Linked DNA regions of Nothobranchius furzeri. The protein of the gene in region 1 interacts with the protein of each later gene in a pairwise test. Links are inferred from orthologs where the notes say so. Each region holds a gene or a part of one and is shown on either strand. Other genes may lie near its edges. The genes, in order: mcm3ap and mcm3.

Region 1 (9,836 bases):
TTTAGTTTGTAAAATAAATATTTAATTCACTAACTAAATATTTAATTTACTAATTAAATATTTATTTTGGAACTAAATATTTAATTTGTAAATTAAATATTTATTTTCCGAAATAAATATTTAGATCCCAGCTAAATATTTATTTTGGAGCTAAACATTTAGTTTGCAAAATCAGTATTTGAGAAATAAATATTTAAGTCTGACCCAAAAATATAAAATATAGTGTGGAGCTAAATAACATTGTGGAAAATAAATATTTAGCTGGTACTTAAACATTTAGCTAATAGGCAGATTCGCTTGCCAATAAGCGGAAGTTGGTTACCAAAATAAATGCTGGATCTCGCTAACTTCTTTCTAAACTCTTGCTACGAACCAGAACTTGTTTTATCTCCGGTTCTATTCTTCTGAACATGTCCGACGTGTTGGGAGTTCAGGAAGCGCTCCTTTAGAAAAGTTCTTTAAAAAATGTGTTAACTGGGATTTAATAAAAAACAAACTAGAGTTTTATTTTTAATTCAGCATCTTTAAAACTCGAGACAAAAAGTTTTAAATGAAAAGACAAAATTTTCCTGTAAAACCAGAACTTTCTCATATTGGTACAAACATTTAACATCCACACACACAGTCTGATGAGAAAGTCCTTCTTTAAAGGCAGAGAAGTTTCGTTGTTGTTTAGAATATGTGTGGGACTGCAGGGCTGAATAAAAACCACAGGAGTCCCATCAGTCATGCACGATGCTCAGAAGACCTCTCAGCTTCCTTCTGCAGGCCAGCTCTTCCTCTTGACTCGAGGACATCTGTCTCTCCAGATCCTTCAGTCTCCATGTCAGAGACACGGGACGAGTCCCGGACCAAGTTGCTCCATCCAAATGCTCATTACGCTCTGACCTCTGGGGACAAAAATAAAAGAAGTGTTGCCCATGTAACTTCTGATCCAGCCAGCTTCGCTCTTGTGATCTTTTCATTTGGTCTGACTGGCACAAAACCAACTTTCAGTCCATTTCTCGTACCAGAACCCGGATCATCCTAAGAGCTATTAGCTAAAAACTTTTCACTGTGTACATTTTGCTCTGTAAGACAACTGGACTGATTGTTGTGATTCAGTGTGACGTTGCCTACATCATCAAGGTTTTACAGGAACAAAGTATTACCCACCTCGAATTTATTCTACGCCTGATCTATTCTGATTACTTAATAATTAACCCTGTCCAGGCAGTGTTGGGATACCTGAGTGAGAGCAGCCGGTCCAGTCTTGCCTGTGGGCGTACACCTTATGGTTGCCGGTGTGGACAGCAGGATGGAGGACGGAATGAAAAGCGGCGTGGACAGATGATCCAACGGCTCGCCAGTCACCCACTGCTGCAGCTTCTCCATGCTCCTGCAGAGAGGAAGTTTAGTGTATCTGACCCGCTGATTGTGAGGAGACAAATACTGAAAACATGTAGACATCTTTCTGAAGACATGAGAAGTTGGAGCTAAAATATTTCCTGTAAATGATTAAAAATTTTTACACATCAGAAATTTAGGGGTCCAGTTTTAATTTGGTTCTTTACGGTTCTAAAAATGGCGCTGAAACAAAGCCAAAGACACCAGAGCAACATTCCCAACATCCGTGTTGATAACTGCGGTGAGCTGACCAAACACCTGCAGGGTCATCTGGATCTGAACCGGACTCCTTTAATCGCTCACGGTGTGATTGGCTGTTGTGTTGTAGCAGCTTTGGCGGTTGTAGGGCTCTAGAAGATGCTATAGGAATACATTTATCATAAAAGGGTTCCTTCTAGGGGCCAAATTGGCCCACAGATGTTTTAAGGTGAATATTTTATTTATAGAGCACCACGTTCTTACCAAGGAGGTGGCTTTTCATCACCTCAGATTCATTCCTGCCCCTGCTGGGCTCTGCCTATTCTTGTGCCAAGATTTAAATTGGAAATAGTTTTATTTATGTAAAAGAAATCATTTGCCTTCAATGTTCTTCTTGGTATTAAATGTATAAAATGAGAAAAAGAAACAAGCTGGTAAACACCCAGAAGGATAAACAAGTTCATAAACTTCTTCTGTTGTGTCTGTGAATCAGAAGTCCAGCAGCAGAGCTGCAGCGGTACCTCCTGCTCTCGGCCCGTTCACGCTCCATGTTCTGAAGGACTTTGTGAGCCAGCTGCTCTTCTGTTGTGGGGGTGTGTGTGATGTCCAGAGGAGTGGGGGATGACTCCGCAGGCTCCACCAAACTGTGGAACAACCTCTGTCTGAGAGTCGGACCAGCCGGCGGAGCATGGGCAGCTTCAGCATCCCTGAAAGAGGCAGGCAGAGATCAAGATGACACCAACACACTCATACTGAGCAACATGTCTAAATTAATTCATAAACAATCGTTTACTGGAAGGAATCTTATAGAATTAGACAAACAACAGATTTAGTGTTTTTCTTTCCTTTTATTTTCCACCGTCCTCCCACCAACACCCAGAAACCTGACAAACCTTCAGTTTGCTTCTTGGTTTCATATTTTAACACTGTGTGGAGCTACGACAGTGAAGATGACCACTAACATTTAACTCTCCGGAGATTGGCACTTATCTCCCACTTTAACTTGTCAAAAACAAACGTGTCCAAGAGAGCAGTGGAAATAATTCAGACGTCATCGTCTCTAATCTCCTCCTCGCTGTCGAACACTGATAGTGATGGAGGTTCTAAAAACTAACAATATTCATGTTGAAAGAACATCTTGACCATGCTGAAGAGCATTTCTGTGTAAAAGTTCATTCTTATCTCGCTTCCCGAACAGCCTCTGTTCACAGAAATAAAGTCTATGCCCTTCAGGACCGACTAGCTAACAGCTCGTCTGGGTGAAGAACCAGTGAGTTGCTGCCGTCTTAAAACTGCTCCAGTTTCCTAAGTTTCACAGAAGTTTATGTTACATTATTTTAGGAACTTTTACACCTCGCTCTGACTAGCCGTTAGCTCATCAGTCCTGAAGACAGGCTGTTCAGGAAGCTATCAACGGGCTGAGATGGGAATTATTTCAGGTTCCTTGCAGTAAAACAAAGTTCTGATTTTGACTTTTCAAAACTCTCCAGGATCAGTAATCGTACCCATGCCTCTGCCTCTGCTTCTCCTCCATGTGTGTTTGCTCAACGGCCCGTGTCCACCCCTCAGGTGGTTGGAAACCTTCTAGTGAACCTTCAGGAAAGTAAACCAGGATCTCTCCATCATCTGTCACAGCATCTTGAAGAGGGACAAAAAGCAAAGTTGAGGTGTTTTGAGTGTGAAGCCAGTAAGAAGCAGAACATGAATGAATGAAGCTGACCTTCACAGACCGGTGGTCCTGGCAGCAGCCAGTCCTTCAGTTTATGGTCTACAAAGACCAACACCACATCATCCCATGGAACCTGGCTGAAAGCATCGTAGTCGGCATTTCCACACCTTCCCTTGGTTTTGGAGGCTTGGGCTCGCTGAGCCTTTACTCTGACTCGTTCAAACAGGTTCATCAGGTGTGACACGAGGACAGGCTGACTACGACGGGACGTGGTGATTTTAGAGGCGTAACAAAAGATGGAGGAGCACAGATCCGACCACATGTCTGGATTGAAAGAGTGGGTCACAAATAAATATCTTTCTCTCCTCTTTAATCCAAGCTCTATCTGAGGCACTAACCTGTTGCTGGAAGCTCCTCCCACTCAGGTAACTGCAAGCTGAGGATGGCTTCACGCAGCCAGGCCAGGTGTTGAACAGAATTCCAGCCCAGGTGAGGCACAAACTCCCTGGTTTCAGGCAGACTGAACTCAGCGGGAGGCCATGACAGTCTGCAGAGATCCTGGGAGGCCACGGTATTAGCGACGTGATCCAGGACGGCGTTGTACAGCTGGATGACGGGCGCCGGCTCCTGGAGCAGAAGCTGTGCAGCGGCTCGGTTCTGACGGTTGGCGTAAACTCTGGGACAGAACTCACGACTCAAACTGGCCTCGATCAGCTGCGCCAGGGTTTGACAACGGAGCGGGAAGTGTGGTGGAGCACGAGGCAGCAACCAGCGTACAGCCTGGGTTAGCTGGAGACGGGGAGGACAAAAGGTCAAAGGTCAGAGAGAACAGCTGAAAGTACATAAACACGGAAAAGACAAGTTAATCCCATGATTCAATTTTTTGAGAACTTTTATTTGGTCTTCTGCTTCCACAACCTTCATCCAGAACCGTTTCAAAGTTAGAAAACGGACTAAACTCGTTTCTCTAAACACAACAAAGAATCAAAAGAATAAAACCATTACAGCTGCCAACATGTGTTCAAGGCTGGTGCCGGGTTTTATCGGTACCTGTTTGGATCCCTGCAGATCATTTGTTGTCTCTGGTATGAAGAACAGCATGTACTCCGATATTAGCTCCTCTTTAACCAGCGTGCGTAGCTTCAAGGCTAAGAGATCAGAGGAACCGTTCACACCAAAGGAAAACAGATTCGTGCTGATTCACAGCACAGAAATATCCACCATTACAAGTTAAAATTGTTTTCCAGCAGTAGTTCAGTACCTTCCTCCAGGTCGGGAGCTACACTGGCATCTTGGCAGCCCGGTACCAGAAGCACCAGAGGCAGAGGACAGAACCAGCTGCTGGCTTGCTGCAGCTGTTTAAGCTGAAGCAAAGCAGACAGCAGAGGAACATCCCGGTCCTCCTGACCCACTTCCACTACCGGCTGAGCGGGAAGCAGCATGATGATGGCTTTTGTGCCCTGAAGCTCAGGGAACTCCTCCAATCTGGACAAGCCGGGTTCGGACAGCGGACCTCGACACGCCTGAAAGACGTAACATGAACCTGCTCAGGAGGTGCAGCTTCACACACACCCAAAGAACAACTTTAAACAACAAGTAAACACATTTCTTTAAATAATTCACAGAAACAAAAAGTAACACGATAAAGATGCATGTTGGACTGAAACAACAAAGCTCCCAGGCCTGAAATTGAACACGTTTTACCTCCAGCCTGCATCAGCAGCACAGAGCCTCCGGACAAACTCACACTCAGGCCCCGACGGCGAATCCTACCTTCAATGTGATGTGGACTTTATGAGTTCTCTGTCCATTCTCCTGCAGTGTGTTGGAGACACAAAGTGTCCTCATGGTGCCGTCCCGCGGCTCCTCCAAGCCTCCATCTCCTCCGAGTTTCACCTCCATCCAGTCTGATAGAACCCTGGAAGAACACAGCCAACACCAGCCCGACATGTCGGAGGAAACGTGAGGTTGGACCCATGCAGTAAAACATCTGGTGTCTTCTCACCTGTCGGCCAGGCTGGCTACACTTTCATCATCGCTAGGCAGGAGGACCAGAGCTTTCCAGAAGATGCGATCAGGTGGGTTTGGGATATTTTCTGTCACAAGTGCTGGCAGATCAAGTGGTTCCCACACTGCCTCTCTGAGGAAATCATCACAGACTCGTCAAACTGCGGTTTCCTGGCAAAGCCTCTAACCCAGTGGACTCAGGACTTACTCCAGCAGCTGCTGATAGAAGGAGTGGACTCTCATCTGATGCATTGCTCCTTCTCTCATCCTCAACAACCTGAAAAAGGTAGAAAATGTTTCACGGCTTGTCAAGATCCGTAAACTAGAAAGAAATAAGAGGCGAACGTACCTGGTGCTGGACACTGCCAACACGCCAGCGTTTCCCAGTCGGACCAGACCTTGAGCCAGATCCTGTATGGAGGGCTGAGCAGGAGCGCTGGGAACCAGGGCCTTCAGTTTAAAACGGGGATCAACGCAGCAAGGAGCTGCAGGGAACTCTCTCATCTGTCTCTTCAGCTGGCGGCGAACGGTAACCACATCACGCCACCTGGTGCAAAGCCAGACCACTCAGCTTACCACGTCTAGGTCAAATATAGCTGTCCAGGGGTTCGTTCTGCAGATTTTAACCTTTTGATGTATTTGTGGATACGTTCCAGCTCAGCTTCGAGGAAGTCTTCAGCCAGCAGAGAAATGGCTGTAGCCAACGTCTCCTCCATTAGACTGCAGCAGACCTGCTCAGAGCACTGAGCCAAACGTTCCGCTTCCTCGTTCACCGCCTCCCTGATAATAAAAAGTTCAGATCAGCGTTCTGGTTCAGGCATAAATATTTAAAATCCTTCTGTTAAAGAGAAACCCACAAAAGTCACGGAAATATCCCAAAACTAAGGAAAGTGTGATTAAGTAAAGAAGAGCATCAAGCAAAGCTTTTACTGGATCTGAGACGCTGCGGACTGCTGTATGGTCTCATCCAGCACTTCATGGATGATCTGTGTGCAGAGCCAACAGCTGAACTGAGCCAGAAATGCCTCGTGCTCCTGCCTCCTCCTACAGAAGAATAAACACAACAGCGTTTATTGATCCTGCAGAAGTTGGTTTCATCTTAAGCTCGTCAGAAAAGGCGTTTTCTACACCAACCTTGCCACTTCAAGTCTGCGTTTCTCCTCAACGACACGCTCTTGTTCCATTTTGATCTCGTTGGACGATATGTCCTGCAACATCTGTCCCAGCACCTCCCTCACCAGAGCCTCCACCTGCACGCTGCTCTCCCTGCAGAAGCAGAAGGTAAAATCATCCAAGATGTCTTCATGGCCTCCAATGCAGCGCGAGCGGATGTGAGCTTACGAGAGAGCCTCTGTGACGTAGCTTGCTCCAGCATCAGCTACAGCTTTCACCTCTGCTTCAACCACTTCGTCTAGAACAGAGTCCATCGCTGCCACCATGTCCTGAAGAGGACAGAAACGTGAGCAGAATGCAAACAAACAAGTTCAGAGCAGAAAGCAGCTTGGCGATGCCTCCCACCTCGTCGCTGTACAGCGGCTGAGGAGGTTTGGGTGGGGGCGATGGAGGTTCGACAGGCTCATGCTGGAACTGCGAGGCCTCAGGGTGATACGGTTGTCTTGGTTCATCTGGAACAGCGGGAAGCGGCTCAAACACTGCAGAAACATCTGGACCAAGCTGAGTGGACAGATCAACAGCTGGTAGGGCTGGAGCGTCCGCGCTGCTGCCTGAAACAAAAACGGGTTTGGTTAACGGCTTTACCGACACAAGAAGCAGAAATCTGGTAAACCATCACACCTTTAATGTAGCTGGATGTGGACTCAGTCAGCTTCCCATCTCCACTGTATTTATTCTGAGAGTCAAAGCTACAGATGGGGGTGTGCTGCGGGGGGTTGGGGAGGGGGCCTCCATTCACCACCTGTCCAGTTAATACCGTCTTCTTAGAGAGAATGACCTCTGACATCTTCTGAGACCGGGGCAGTTCTGGCTCCTGAAAAGCTATCCGGCTCAGTTCCACCATCCTGCACAGTTTAAACTATGTTATTTTGCCTTTTTTAAATCCAAACATGTATTTTATGGGTCAATGTGTCAAAACGGTGGAGAAATCTTTATGGCATTTAGTTCAGCAGCAACGAGCTTTACCCGTCGTTGACCACGAGCCCGTACTGCTGCACGAAGTCGGTCCCTTCAGTTGCATCTCGGAACATCAACATCCGGACAACATCCTCTATCGGGAATGCGGTAGATCGAGGACCCACAGTGTGAGCCATGTTCAGGGCCTTCAGTGCCTTCGCTCTGACCTACACACACACACACACACACACACACACACACACACACACACACACACACACACACACACACACACACACACACACACACAAGATGGAGCGTTTAACACCAACAACATTCAGACACCAGAAAGAAAAGAGCTGAAGCTTTCTCACCTGGCTGAAGTATCTGTGCAGGAGGCAGCTGGAGAGATAAGAAGCTCTCTTCACCAGCTTGAAGAAGCGAACAAAGTTGTTGCTGTTGACGGCAGCGAACGCTTGAACTGCAAACGTCACCTCCGGTGAGTTTCGCACCTCCCCTCGGAACTGCTGCACCTCTCTGCAGAGATGAAGGGTTTTAATCACAGACACAGTCCGTAATAAACGCTGTCAACTAAAATCAGGATTCATTTCTTGATGTTTTCCTTCCAAGCAGAAAGATTTTCTTGTAATCTTGATGAATAATTCTCCACTTTCAGACAGGGGCGCCTCCAGAAAACTTTGATGGGGTGGCCGGATGGGGTCAAACAAATGTTTGGGGTGGCACACCAAACTGAACCTTGTGGTAACTCTGCCATGAGAAGCTACCTGAGGACGTCTCCATCGTTGAGCCTCAGCAGAACGCTGTACTGGCGGAACTCGGCCTCTTGGGGGCAGAAGATCTGCTCAGCTGCCAGGTCATGGTACATTTCTTTGAGACTCTGCAGGCACTTCGTCATGTTCTCATTGTTGATTTTAGCATCAAAAGACAACATGGGCTGCTCACAGAGCTGGTGGGCGCAGTGCACGTGGAAGCGTGTGCACTTCTCTATCAGTGACACCGTTTGGGGACAACAGAGACGCTGCTGGGTGATGTCCTGAAGGTGCAACACAAGAATCAGACTGAAACATGCACCTGTGAGGCCACGCTGGGAAAAACACACAATGGTTGTAAGAAGGAAGAGATTCGTTTGTCATCCTTACCTTGCGAATCCCTCGTGTTCTATTCCACACAAAGTCATACCAGTCACGGTAGTTGTTCTGCACCTCATCCATGATCTGAGTCACCAGGTAGTCCATGGTCATGCTCAGCACAGGCAGGGGACGCAGCTCGTGCGGGAGGGGCTCCTCTTGGTCTGCCGAGGAGCGACTGTACTCCTTTATAGCAGTGGCGTGATCCACCTGGTGGAGGCAGGAGAGTTTGGGTCTCTAGACACAACCGTTGCTGTCCATATGCATCTGTGCACTTAGACCTTCAATGTACCGTCCAAGGAATAACAGAAACCTTAAGAAGCACATGTACATGTTCCCCAGTTCAATTGTAGGAGAGATTTCCATATTTAGCCTCTACAGAACAGAAAAGCTTTAAAACATTCAAAGGGTTTGGCATCAAGTCTCGGTGTCTTTGATGTTAGAACGTCTTCATAAGGGAGAAAAAACTGTTGCTTTCAAGCCTCATTTCCACAGAGCGGTTTGGCGTGGAACGGGGCGGATCGGCTCGCTAATTCATCTGTCCCCATTGTAAACCGGTCCAGAAAACCCAACCCAACTGAACCGGGCAAGTCACGGCTTTTTGGGCCCCCTTCTGTTGAAGGTCCAGACACTTCTGAAGCGGCCCGGTTAGGGCGACGCAACAACACAGTCCACTGACTAGGGGACAGAAATACGTCACTACATGCAACAAGCAAACTAACGGAGTGCTGTTGTTTGTATTTTCCATAGTTGTACATAAATGTGAAAAACTGCCTGCAAGTAGCAGCAAATTTTGGTCATCGCCATATCTCCATACATTCCTCGCCATCACTGTGAGAGTTCACTCATGAGGAGCTAGAGGGATCGCCAAGTTATTTTTCTCAGCGGATGGCAGCCGAAGGATCCGAGCGGGTGTGACAACGGTGTCGGGCCAAGCTGAAGAAAATAAAACCCAACATCGAAAAGTTACGAACCGAAACAGCCAAAGTGGAAATACACAAAGGTGCTGGATGCTATTTATAGCCACAGAAGGCAAACCGAGGCAGCCAGGCAGACCTGGACTCAGCATTCTGGAGTCACTTGGGGAGTCTGTCGGTTTGTCTTCATCTCAGCAGATGCTCAGCAGCACAAATACACAGAATAGTTGCATATGTTCTTTGTGAAATCACTCACGACAGTTCGTTTAACCCCGCCTGCCAACACGAGAGCCCAAACTGCAAAAGAAACGCTCTCCTGAAACTGCAGACCTATACCAGTACACGCTGGTCCACAATAACCTGTTCTGCTCTGTTGCCAAACCCTGCAGATGGATCTGAGGCTCAACGGTTTTTATGTTGCAGCCTGACATGCAGGAACGA
Region 2 (10,561 bases), on another chromosome or scaffold:
GTCTCCACACAAATCTATAAGAATGGAATTAATTTGATAAGCTATTTAAGTTTCCTTTTTTTTTTTAAGTTGCATCGTTAGCTTTTTCTCTTCTTTTTTCTTTACTCACCGCGTTGGTTCCAAGTTCCCAGCTCTTATTAGAAGGAGTCAAGTCCGCCTCTCCCTCTATCTATGCGGCACCCAAATCAGGGTTCTTCACGGCCTCGACCGTTGTTTTTTTTTCTCTCTCTCTCTCTCTCTAACCGCTCAGTCTTTGCTTTCTGTATCTGCGTGCTGCACAGCCGTTTGTCTCTCCTCTCGCTCAGCTGCGTCGCACGGTTTTATTTCGCGGAGGCGGGACTTATTTCTCTCAGCCAATGAAATTTCAGATTCCCACCTGGACCAATAGTATACAGCTTTCCTCTTCTGTTTCTGTTAGTGATGTTCAAGATTCTTGTTTTAACCAATGTTTAATATTAAACTCGTTATTTTAGTTATTCACCCTTCCAATAATTCATTATGAAATTATCTATTAGTTAATTAGATATCTATTAATTAGTATTGTTAATTTCCTTAATTTATATTTTATATTTTATCTAAATTGAGGATGGATCATATTAGTAAGCCAATTAGTTAATACCTCATTAAGGTTCTAGCTTCTGGGTTACACAGGTTTCAGGCAAACTTATGGTTTTCATTGCTTTCAATCTTTTTGTAATCTTGTATATTTTATTGTTGCTTTTAGTATTTGTAGCTTGTTTTAGTGTATTTTTACTCTGTGGTCAGCACTTTGGGGCAACCGCTGTTGCCATTTAAAGGTGCTACAGAAAAAAAATTTGACATGACCTAAACTGTTGTTATAACAGAAATCGCAGCATTTGTTATTCAAAAATATAACCTTTATCGGAACATCAGGATTTATTTAGTGTTTGTTTTGTTGCTGGTACCAGAATTAGCACAAGAGAGCTCCATGATAATGATTCTTTGGAAAAACTGAAGTTTCCAAGTTTATGCACGTTTCCATCTTCTGGTCACTAAATATACTGCAGCCTAAAACGGCTGGTTGTATTCCTGCTCACACAACAATGCTGGTTGAAAGTGAACGTTGTTCTAAATACCAAAGTAGTTAATGTCCAGCTTCATGTATTTGATGTTAGCTTGTGTCAAACAGAAGGTCTTGCATAGACAGTATGTTTCCCAGCTTTTGGTAACTGTGGCTAAACTCCACATTCACAAATGGATCATGATTTTGTGCTCTTTTTGTGGACCTGAAATGTTCCTACTCCTCCATGAGCAATGTAGAGAACCAAAAAGCAACAAGAACCATAAACAGGACCACATGGAAGAAGGAAGAACTATCATGACCCGACTGAAATCCAGACTCGTCAGACCGGGAACAGTTTTTCCCTTCTGGTCCATTTCTGGTGGTCCTGAGCCAGATCAAGACTCTTGGCACTCTGATCTTCAGCAAGTGCTCTCCTTGCATGGAGATCCCACCATGTAATTATCCATTAAAGGCTAAAGCATCCTAGTCCTACTGTAACTGCAGTCAGCACCCTGTCAACACAATGTTTATACAATCACTGCAGGGACAATAATGATTCCATTTTTATGTAAACTACTTCTAACAAACGTTTTTATGAATGTAAATGGTAAATGGCCTGTATTTGATATAACTCCTTCTAGAGTTCTTGAAACCCCCCAAGGCGCTTTACAACACAATCAGTCATTCACCCATTCACACACACTGGTGGGGATGAGCTACAATGTAGCCACAGCTGCCCTGGGGCGCACTGACAGAGACGAGGCTGCCGAGCACTGGCGCCACCGGTCCCTCCGACCACCACCAGCAGGCAATGTGGGTTAAGTGTCTTGCCCAAGGACACAACAACAGCGACAGACTGAGCGGGACTCGAACCTGCAACCTTCTGATTACGGGGCGAGCGCTTAACTCCTGTGCCACCGTCGCCCCTAATGTAGGTTGTGTGGTGTTGTAAGGCCATTTGTAATTTACAAGAGGAAATATATGGAGTAACGGGTTGTATGGGTTTTTGAACATGGGATCTTAGGAAAATAAATGTGGATAATTTAAAACATCTAGAGATAACCAGGTTAATGTGAAATTAGTCTTTAAACAAAGAGGTTAGGTTTGGAATTAACTAAATTGGACAGACAGAAACACGAGCTGTTTTTGGCCCCATCTTGTATACAAAGGGTGAAATTGTGTTTTGTTTCCGTTTCCGGCTTGTTTTTGCGCCAGTTTTATGAAGGGTGGGTCGAATCCACGGGTAGGATGCTTACGAGTACGGGTCCTCGCCGGTCTAGGGTCCTTGCTAGACCGCTAAGACCGAAATCCAGCGGCTCTGAATTCAGACCAAGCCCCCACAATGCGGGTCAAAAATCTAAGCAAATGTGGAAATGAAAGAAATTGCAGTTCCACCCTCATCCACTAGGGGCTGGTGTCAGAAGTGAGCAAATCCTCATTGACTCCCATGTTAAAAATACCAATTTGACAGCATAAATAAACATGTTTACAGCCTGGTACCAAAACATGTTTTTGGTTTAAATGATCTAGTTTACACTCATGACAACTCTGAGTGGGGTGAATGTTTTTCTCACTCTTCTGTTTAAGTGTATTAAAAGCCTAAAATTCTGTATAATTAATGAGCATCAGACCCACGTGACCACAGAGCTAGCTCCGTGGAAAGGCCTCGGTAGAGCCTCGGTCTGGCCTGGAAACTGTTCCAGGATTTTGAGTCTCTGTGTGTGTGTGTATTCTTGTTTGGATATTATTTGTGCAATTGTTGGACAAAATGACTTGCTGTGGCATTAATTGCACTAATAGAGCGTCCAAGGAGTCTCCACTTCATTTTTTTCAGTAAGTAAAATTATATTTATATATTTTAGGTCACTGCCGAGCTGAGCTTAGATTTTAACATGTACTGTTTAACCATGAAATTTAAATGTAATAGGGTAAAACCCAGTGCATTTAACATAATGCTGCACTTTAGAAAATGGGTTGAAATCATCGGCATAAATATACTGGACATCTCCTTTCCATAGGCTCCAATATCACGTTTTTGTACTAAAATGGGAGGTGGCCACCACCACCATTTTGACCGTGTCACAGGTTCCGTCAAGCCCAGACAATTCCATAAAAGGGAAGAGAGGTGGAGCTGAGGGTGGGGCTGTAAGGCTGGGATCAACTGACGACACCCGGTCGTCCATACTGGTTTTGATCTGTAAATAAGTTAAACCTATTATAAATAATCTTGTCTCCTTACCATCTTTTCATTTTCTGTTCATGTAACATGTTCAAAAACATCTGTATTAATAAAACTGGTGATAAAACCAATGACCAGAAAGTTATCAGTATTTGAACACATTTACTAAAACAAATACAAACAGCTAAATAACATTAACATGATGACAGTAGAAGGCCTGTCTCCCAGGAGGACCAACAGGTAAGTGTTGCGTCCACGACATGAGATGGTAAAATGTGAAGAATGGGGATCACATAAGAACTGGACAGTGGATATTAAAAGGGTTTTAATGGTATACAAAGGTTCTAAAACACAAGCAAACATACGACGGGCATTATAAAAATAATGCAACACACTCAAACTTTCAAAAAGGTTAATATTAAACGACAAATTATCAACTATAAAAAACACCTGGTTAAAAATTTGTTAAAAGCTTCACCGCAAGAAGGTGTTCTAAAAGCACCGCGAAGTTGATATAAAACAATTTACTGACTTAAACACCTGGTTAAAACTTAAGTTTTACCAAACAAAGGTATTTAAAAACCATGTCAATAAAATTGCAACAAACAAAGTTAACCTTAAAAACCAACGAACACAAGATCCCACAGGATCACTCAAGAGTTTCAACTATAAAAGTTAAACTCATACAGAACGAATGGAGAACAGCAGAGCTCCTGCACTGCTGCCTCCCAGACTCTGAAGGCACAGCTCTTTTATCCAGGTGTGGCTCATCAGGAGGACTCAGCTCAGCTGTGCTCCTCAGCAGCCTGGAAGGGAGGAGGAGGGGGGGGCGGTGTCCGGCCATCACCAGAGCTGGGTGATCCTGGCTGCTTTCTCCCTCTGGCCAGGCTGGCAGCTGCACCAGGTAAAGCCTCTCCTGACCCTGGACACCTGCAGTCCTACAGAGAAAATCAGACCACAGGTGACAAAAAGGCAATAAACACACTTTTACATTTATCCACATGAGAAGATAAAACTTTTATTCTGCACACAAACTTTTTACTTCATTAAAACGTGTCAGCTGTGTAAATCCCTGAATGTAAAACTACTTTTCACAGAAGAACGTGTGTGTGTGTGTGTGTGTGTGTGTGTGTGTGTGTGTGTGTGTGTGTGTGTGTGTGTGTGTGTGTGTGTGTGTGTGTGTGTGTGTGTGAACAGCTTCCTATTCACCTCTGAGCTTCATAAAAACGCTTCTTTGCGCCGTTGTCCTTAAAACAAATGACAATTCAACACACACACACACACACACACACACACACACACACACACACACACACACACACACACACACACACACACACACACACACACACACACACACAGGAATAACTGGGACCTGCGAAACAAAGTCGTTCTGGCTGATTTCTGCCTAAAATGTAATTTAAAGAACAAACATACAAACGACAAATGTCTATAAACAGAACCGCTTTAAGTTTTTTAGGTTTCTACGGCTGGTTTTTAACAAACTCACGTTTAAAACTTCGTAGCTCTCCCCACTTCCGCTTCCTGTTGAAAATCCACGGCCGGCGCGCAAAGCATGCTGGGGGAGGGGGTTAAGTGTCACGTGATTATTGCGTGAGTTTACCCGCCGAGTATGCAAAAGACCACGTGACGGGTTGACCAATCGTAGGGCACGCTGTACTGTGACGCAGACCGCAGTGGCGCGAAAAGTCTTCAGTCGTGAGGTGTGACGGTGGCGGCAGCGTTTTGTTTCCCGTTTTCAGTTTCATCACCGAGAAAAGTTGATCAGAAATAATGGCGACCGACATGGTGGACGACCGGGAGATGAGGGAGGCGCAGAGGGACTATGTGGACTTCCTGGACGACGACGTAAGTCACCTTTTGTCCTTTGATGTGTTCCTGTAAGGAGAGAACAACAAAGGCCGCCGTCGTGGTCAGACTTGTGTCAGGAATGCGTTTTTAACAGCCTCCGTGTTGTTGTCCGACCTGCAGCAGGACCAGGGCATCTACCAGAGCAAAGTCCGCGACATGATCGGAGACAACAAAGCCCGGCTCATCGTCAACATCAACGACCTGAGGAGGCGCAACGAGACCCGGGCCGCAAAGTTAGTCACACTCGCTGTCCCCTTTGGGTCTGGAGCTCCTGAGGTTCCCCTCCATCATCCATGAGTGTAAAGATGTCTCCAGCAGACACAGCTAACTGCTCCTTCTGTTTAGCGAGATCTAACTTTTAGAGGATAAATGCTCCAAAAAGGCAGTACTGAACAGAAATGGTGGATAAGAGGCGGTTCCTCAGATCACGTGTCCCGCCATCACAGCTGGTTTTTGCCTCCCAGGTTGCTGAACAGTGCGTTTGAGGAGCTGCTGGCCTTCCAGCGGGCTCTGAAGGACGTGGTGGCCACGGTGGACGCCACCTACGCCAAGCAGCACGAGGAGTTCTTTATCGGGCTGGAGGGCAGCTTCGGCACCAAGCACGTGTCCCCCCGGACGCTGACCTCGCGACTGCTGGGCAGCGTGGTGTGTGTGGAGGGCATCGTCACCAAGTGTGAGTTTAGGATTTGTAGCTGCCTGCTGGCTCTGGGTTTCATCTAACCTTCCGGTCTTTTCCTGTAGGTTCTCTTGTGCGTCCCAAAGTGGTGCGCAGTGTCCACTACTGTCCAGCCACCAAGAAAACCATGGAGAGGGTGTACAGCGACCTGACCTCTCTGGATGCCTTCCCTTCCAGTGCCATTTACCCAACCAAGGTGGGTGTTTGCTAGCTCAGATGGTAAAGGTTGTGTGTGACTGAAGATGGCTAACCGTCATCGGTTCCGCTGCTTTAGGATGAGGAGAACAACCCCCTGGAGACGGAGTTTGGTCTGTCCATCTACAAGGACCACCAGACCATCACGGTGCAGGAGATGCCGGAGAAGGCTCCAGCCGGTCAGCTGCCCCGCTCTGTGGACATCGTTCTGGACAACGACTTGGTGGATTCCGTCAAACCAGGAGACCGAGTCCAGGTCGTGGGGACATACCGTTGCCTGCCTGGGAAGAAGGGAGGGTTCACCTCCGGCACGTTCAGGTTTGATGTGATGTCCTTCAGACATCTGTTGGTGGTTTAGATCCAGAGCTAAAGGAGAAAAGGTAAAACTCCAAACTCCCCTGTTTCTGCAGGACCATCATGATCGCCTGTCAGGTCAAACAAATGAGCAAGGAGGTCTCCCCGTCCTTCTCTGCCGACGACGTGGCCAAGATCAGGAACTTCTGCCGGACTCGCTCCATTGTGAGTGTGTGTGAGTGTGTGTGTGTGTGTGTGTGTGTGTGTGTGTGTGTGTGTGTGTGAGTGTGTGTGAGTGTGTGTGTGTGTGTGTGTGAGTGTGTGTGTGTGTTTTAATGGTGACTGTTTCTGTAGAACGTGTTTGACCGGCTGGCCCATTCGCTGGCACCCAGCATCCACGGACACGACTACATCAAGAAGGCCATCCTGTGCATGCTGCTGGGCGGGGTGGAGAAGGTTCTGGAGAATGGTACCCGCATCAGAGGAGACATCAACATCCTGCTCATCGGTAAACGGAGACCTGTAGAGCGGTTCGTGTCCACTCTGGGATTTTGTCTCACATCCGGTGTGTGTGGTTTTCCAGGTGACCCGTCGGTGGCGAAATCCCAGCTGCTGCGTTACGTTCTTCAGACCGCGCCCAGAGCCATCCCCACCACCGGGCGGGGCTCCTCCGGCGTGGGTCTCACTGCTGCAGTCACCACTGACCAGGAGACCGGTGAGCGCCGGCTGGAGGCGGGCGCCATGGTGCTGGCGGACCGCGGCGTTGTGTGCATTGACGAGTTCGATAAGATGTCCGACATGGACCGCACCGCCATCCACGAGGTGATGGAGCAGGGTCGGGTCACCATCGCCAAGGCTGGAATCCACGCCCGGCTCAACGCCCGCTGCTCCGTTCTGGCTGCTGCCAACCCGGTCTACGGCAGGGTGAGTTGGAGTGAGCGTGGCGCAGACGTTTACAAAACCCTTCAGCTGTTAGAGGTCGTCAGCTCGTGATGAGGTGGGCGCAGGAGTGAGGCATAATAATGCTTTTAACTTGGTGAAGTCGCTGCAGGCGTCCTCCAGGGACGGCTTTGATCTTGGGCGGTTCGACTGGCGTGTCGGTGGGAACGTGTGTGTTCATGAAGGTCTCTGTTCCTGCAGTATGATCAGTATAAAACCCCCATGGAGAACATCGGCCTGCAGGACTCCCTGCTGTCCCGCTTCGACCTCCTCTTCATCGTACTGGATCAGATGGACCCCGAGCAGGACCGGGAAATCTCGGACCATGTCCTGAGGATGCACCGCTACCGAGACCCCCGTGAGCAGGAGGGAGCAGGTACAGTGGCGTCCGTGTTTGATCGTGTTCTGCAGCGTGAGGAGCGTCTCACCGAGTCCGTTTATTTCCTGCAGCCATGGCTCTGGGTGGGACCGTAGATGTTCTGGCCACAGACGACCCAGATGGCCTGGGAGAAGAGCAGGAGGAGCTGCAGGTTTATGAGAAACACAACAACCTGCTGCATGGAAGCAAGAAGAAGAAGTGAGGAAGTCAGACGTGTTTTCTAAACTCTACTGGTGCTTTTGCACGACTAACAGGAGTTTGTTTCAGGGATAAGATTGTGAGTAAGGAGTTCATGAGGAAGTACATCCACATCGCCAAGGCTATAACGCCCACGCTGACGGAGGAGGCAGCCAATCACATAGCGGAGGAGTACTCCAGACTGAGGAGCCAGGAGCAGCTTGGTTCTGACGTTGCCAGGGTGAGCAGGAGAACCACAGGAACACGGAGTGGACCCACACTGCTCTGACCTTGTTCCCTCTTCGTGCAGACCTCTCCAGTGACGGCCCGTACCTTGGAGACCCTGATCCGTCTGTCCACGGCACACGCGAAGGCCCGCATGAGCAAAGCTGTGGAGCTGGTGGACACAGAGGTTGCTGTGGAGCTGGTCCAGTTTGCCTACTTTAAGAAGGTTTGTTGGTTTGTGTCCTGACCTCTGGACGTAGCTCGGACGAGCCTAAAGTCGCCGTTCCTGTTCAGGTTCTAGAGAAGGAGAAGAAGCGCTCCAGGCAGGACCGTGACTCCAGTTCAGAGGAGGAGAAGGAGGATGATGAGGTGGTCACCACACAGCAGTCACGAAGTACCAGAAAGAGGTAAACTCGCTCACGTTGCACATTTATGCTCTAAAACAGAAGCTTGGAGAGTGACTGGCATGTTTGTGTCCTGCAGGGGGCGCCGTGGCTCTAACAGCAGCGAGCCCTACAGCCCGTATGACTTCAGTGAAGAACAAACTGTTCCTGAGAGTAAGCATCAGCCTCCTCTCCTCACATCTCCACAGCGCTTCGGAACGAATAACCAGAGCCTGATTTCTGTAGAGGGTTAGGGTTCATGACCCTCACCTGCTAAAGGCTAACGTAGCTCTGAGGTGAGGCGGCTCTCATCAGCACCCATCTGTGTGTGTTGCAGTTCGGGCTGGCGCCCCGAAACCAGACCAGCAGCCGCTGGACGAGCCTATGGACGCCACATCACAGGCCGAAGCAGCGGACCTGTCTGCTGAGAGGTGAGTGGGACTTCCATCTCCACCTGCTAGGGCTGACAGCCTTAATGACCACTCTGGTCTCCTCCACCCTCCAGGCTGAAGGAGTTCAAATCGTCCCTGTTCACCGTGTTCCAGTCCAGCCACGCTCAGTCGGTGAAGATGTCCAAGCTGATGGACGACGTCAACAAGGACCGTGAGAGTCGGTTCACGAAGCCGGAGGTCCGCGCCGCCTTGGCTCGCATGCAGGATGACAACCAGGTCATGGTGGCCGATGACATGATCTTTCTGATCTGAGGGACAGGAGGATCTCGGGACTGTTTATAGCCATCGGCTGTTTCTGTCCTCTCAGAGCTCAAGTGGCGGTCATCCTGGATGACCTTTGACCTTGTATATAGTGTTTGCTGTTCTAAGTGCTGCAGTTTGTGAAATAAACATCTGAGAATACCATGAGGGCTGATGTCATCACACAGTAACAGGTTAGGCTAAATGGTAGATCTCGCCTGAAGCCAAGGGCAGGTTCTGGTCACCACCTGGCCCTGGTTCCACCCTCAGGAGCAGCAGGTGTTTGATGGTGCAGAACCCAGGAGGCCTGTCTAAGTGATGAATGTTCCCGGTTCTGAGTGTGTGCTAGTCGCCGAGTACATCTGGAGAGAAACTGCTGTGTGCATTTTCCACTCGAACATAAAAGCAACGTTGGCTCTAAAAACTAGTGATGTCGCTTATCGAGGCGTGTGTTGTTTACGTAAACGGTGACGTTCGAGGCCTCATTGGCAGTCCGTACCATGTGACCGATGAAGAAGCTGGCTTGCCGGATTCGAAGTGGGAGGGGCAGCCGAACCCCGCTGATCCCCGTCCCGTGGTGCTGTGGGAACCCTCAGTAGGGTGCCCCGAGCAGCCACGTCAGCTCTTCAGGGTTCAGCCATTTAGTCATAAATGAACAAAAACTTCCCAAAACTATCGAAAGCCCTCTTAAAGAACATTTGATGTTCTTTAGATGGAAGTTAATACAAAACCTTTCAAGAAGATGTTCTGTTTATTTTCCCAAACAAAAATGTTCATGAAACGAATAAAGCTGAAGACATTTTAAATAAAAAACAAGCTAAATGTGATAAAAAGCTTCATTCCAAATAGTTCAAACTGAAGTAAAACTATAAAAACAGAAAATAATATTTCTTCCTGCTTTCCTAATTCATTTAATCATTTTTATGGGTTTTTTTGCTCTTGAAAGTAAAGTTTAGCTTTAATACCAGCAGATAAAACGATGCTTTGCTGCATTTTTTGTGGACAATATAAAAATAAGGTTGTAGGTTTATCCTTTAAATCCGCAACTGATCTGCAGGTCTGACCCTGATGGCTGTGACACACACACACGACAGATTTAAAAAGTGTTTTATTGCTAGAGAAAATCGTCTGAAACTGTTGAGGGAAAAGGTTTAAAACTAAATCACAGGAGATGTCCAGAAGCCTGTGTTCATAAACAGCATTTTATGGGTCATAGGACTTTACTGATGCTAGATAATCTCACTGAGGATGTTTTTCTGAAACCAGGTGTGTGTGACCCTGTATGTACAGTCTATGGTGTAACCCTAACCTCCATCACCGCTCCAGCTGCTGAGACCAGAAACGGGGATCCGTGCTGCAACCGGAGCAAGTCTGTGTTTCCAGTAGAGCACGTCTGCTGAAAGATTTGTGCAACAATCAGATTTTTATTTTACTTCCACAAAATGTATTTGAGATTAAATATTACAGAAAACGGGGACGGCTTGCCATCTAATTTAAAAGCCGTTCCACATTCATTACAGTTACAA

What was found.
Region 2: the proteins of mcm3ap (region 1) and mcm3 interact in a two-hybrid assay, tested with the Homo sapiens proteins (2 studies listed by BioGRID). The link is inferred for Nothobranchius furzeri from reciprocal best matches to the Homo sapiens genes MCM3AP and MCM3.

Annotation. Positions count from the first base shown.
Region 1 is NC_091747.1:23,628,290-23,638,125, reverse strand, and holds the end of mcm3ap (germinal-center associated nuclear protein), read right to left. Parts: intron 8,689-9,836; coding exon 8,491-8,688; intron 8,385-8,490; coding exon 8,116-8,384; intron 7,868-8,115; coding exon 7,705-7,867; intron 7,558-7,704; coding exon 7,400-7,557; intron 7,279-7,399; coding exon 7,055-7,278; intron 6,985-7,054; coding exon 6,779-6,984; intron 6,703-6,778; coding exon 6,602-6,702; intron 6,527-6,601; coding exon 6,395-6,526; intron 6,305-6,394; coding exon 6,191-6,304; intron 6,041-6,190; coding exon 5,888-6,040; intron 5,808-5,887; coding exon 5,610-5,807; intron 5,538-5,609; coding exon 5,469-5,537; intron 5,394-5,468; coding exon 5,259-5,393; intron 5,172-5,258; coding exon 5,027-5,171; intron 4,777-5,026; coding exon 4,515-4,776; intron 4,402-4,514; coding exon 4,304-4,401; intron 4,043-4,303; coding exon 3,652-4,042; intron 3,578-3,651; coding exon 3,305-3,577; intron 3,223-3,304; coding exon 3,090-3,222; intron 2,292-3,089; coding exon 2,106-2,291; and 6 more.
Region 2 is NC_091742.1:30,391,267-30,401,827, reverse strand, and holds mcm3 (DNA replication licensing factor MCM3), read left to right. Parts: upstream 1-4,891; 5' UTR 4,892-4,997; coding exon 4,998-5,072; intron 5,073-5,195; coding exon 5,196-5,308; intron 5,309-5,539; coding exon 5,540-5,748; intron 5,749-5,816; coding exon 5,817-5,947; intron 5,948-6,025; coding exon 6,026-6,264; intron 6,265-6,356; coding exon 6,357-6,465; intron 6,466-6,594; coding exon 6,595-6,748; intron 6,749-6,823; coding exon 6,824-7,164; intron 7,165-7,380; coding exon 7,381-7,555; intron 7,556-7,629; coding exon 7,630-7,756; intron 7,757-7,825; coding exon 7,826-7,976; intron 7,977-8,045; coding exon 8,046-8,186; intron 8,187-8,254; coding exon 8,255-8,367; intron 8,368-8,443; coding exon 8,444-8,517; intron 8,518-8,680; coding exon 8,681-8,774; intron 8,775-8,848; coding exon 8,849-9,047; 3' UTR 9,048-9,200; downstream 9,201-10,561. UniProt on the Homo sapiens protein: Acts as a component of the MCM2-7 complex (MCM complex) which is the replicative helicase essential for 'once per cell cycle' DNA replication initiation and elongation in eukaryotic cells.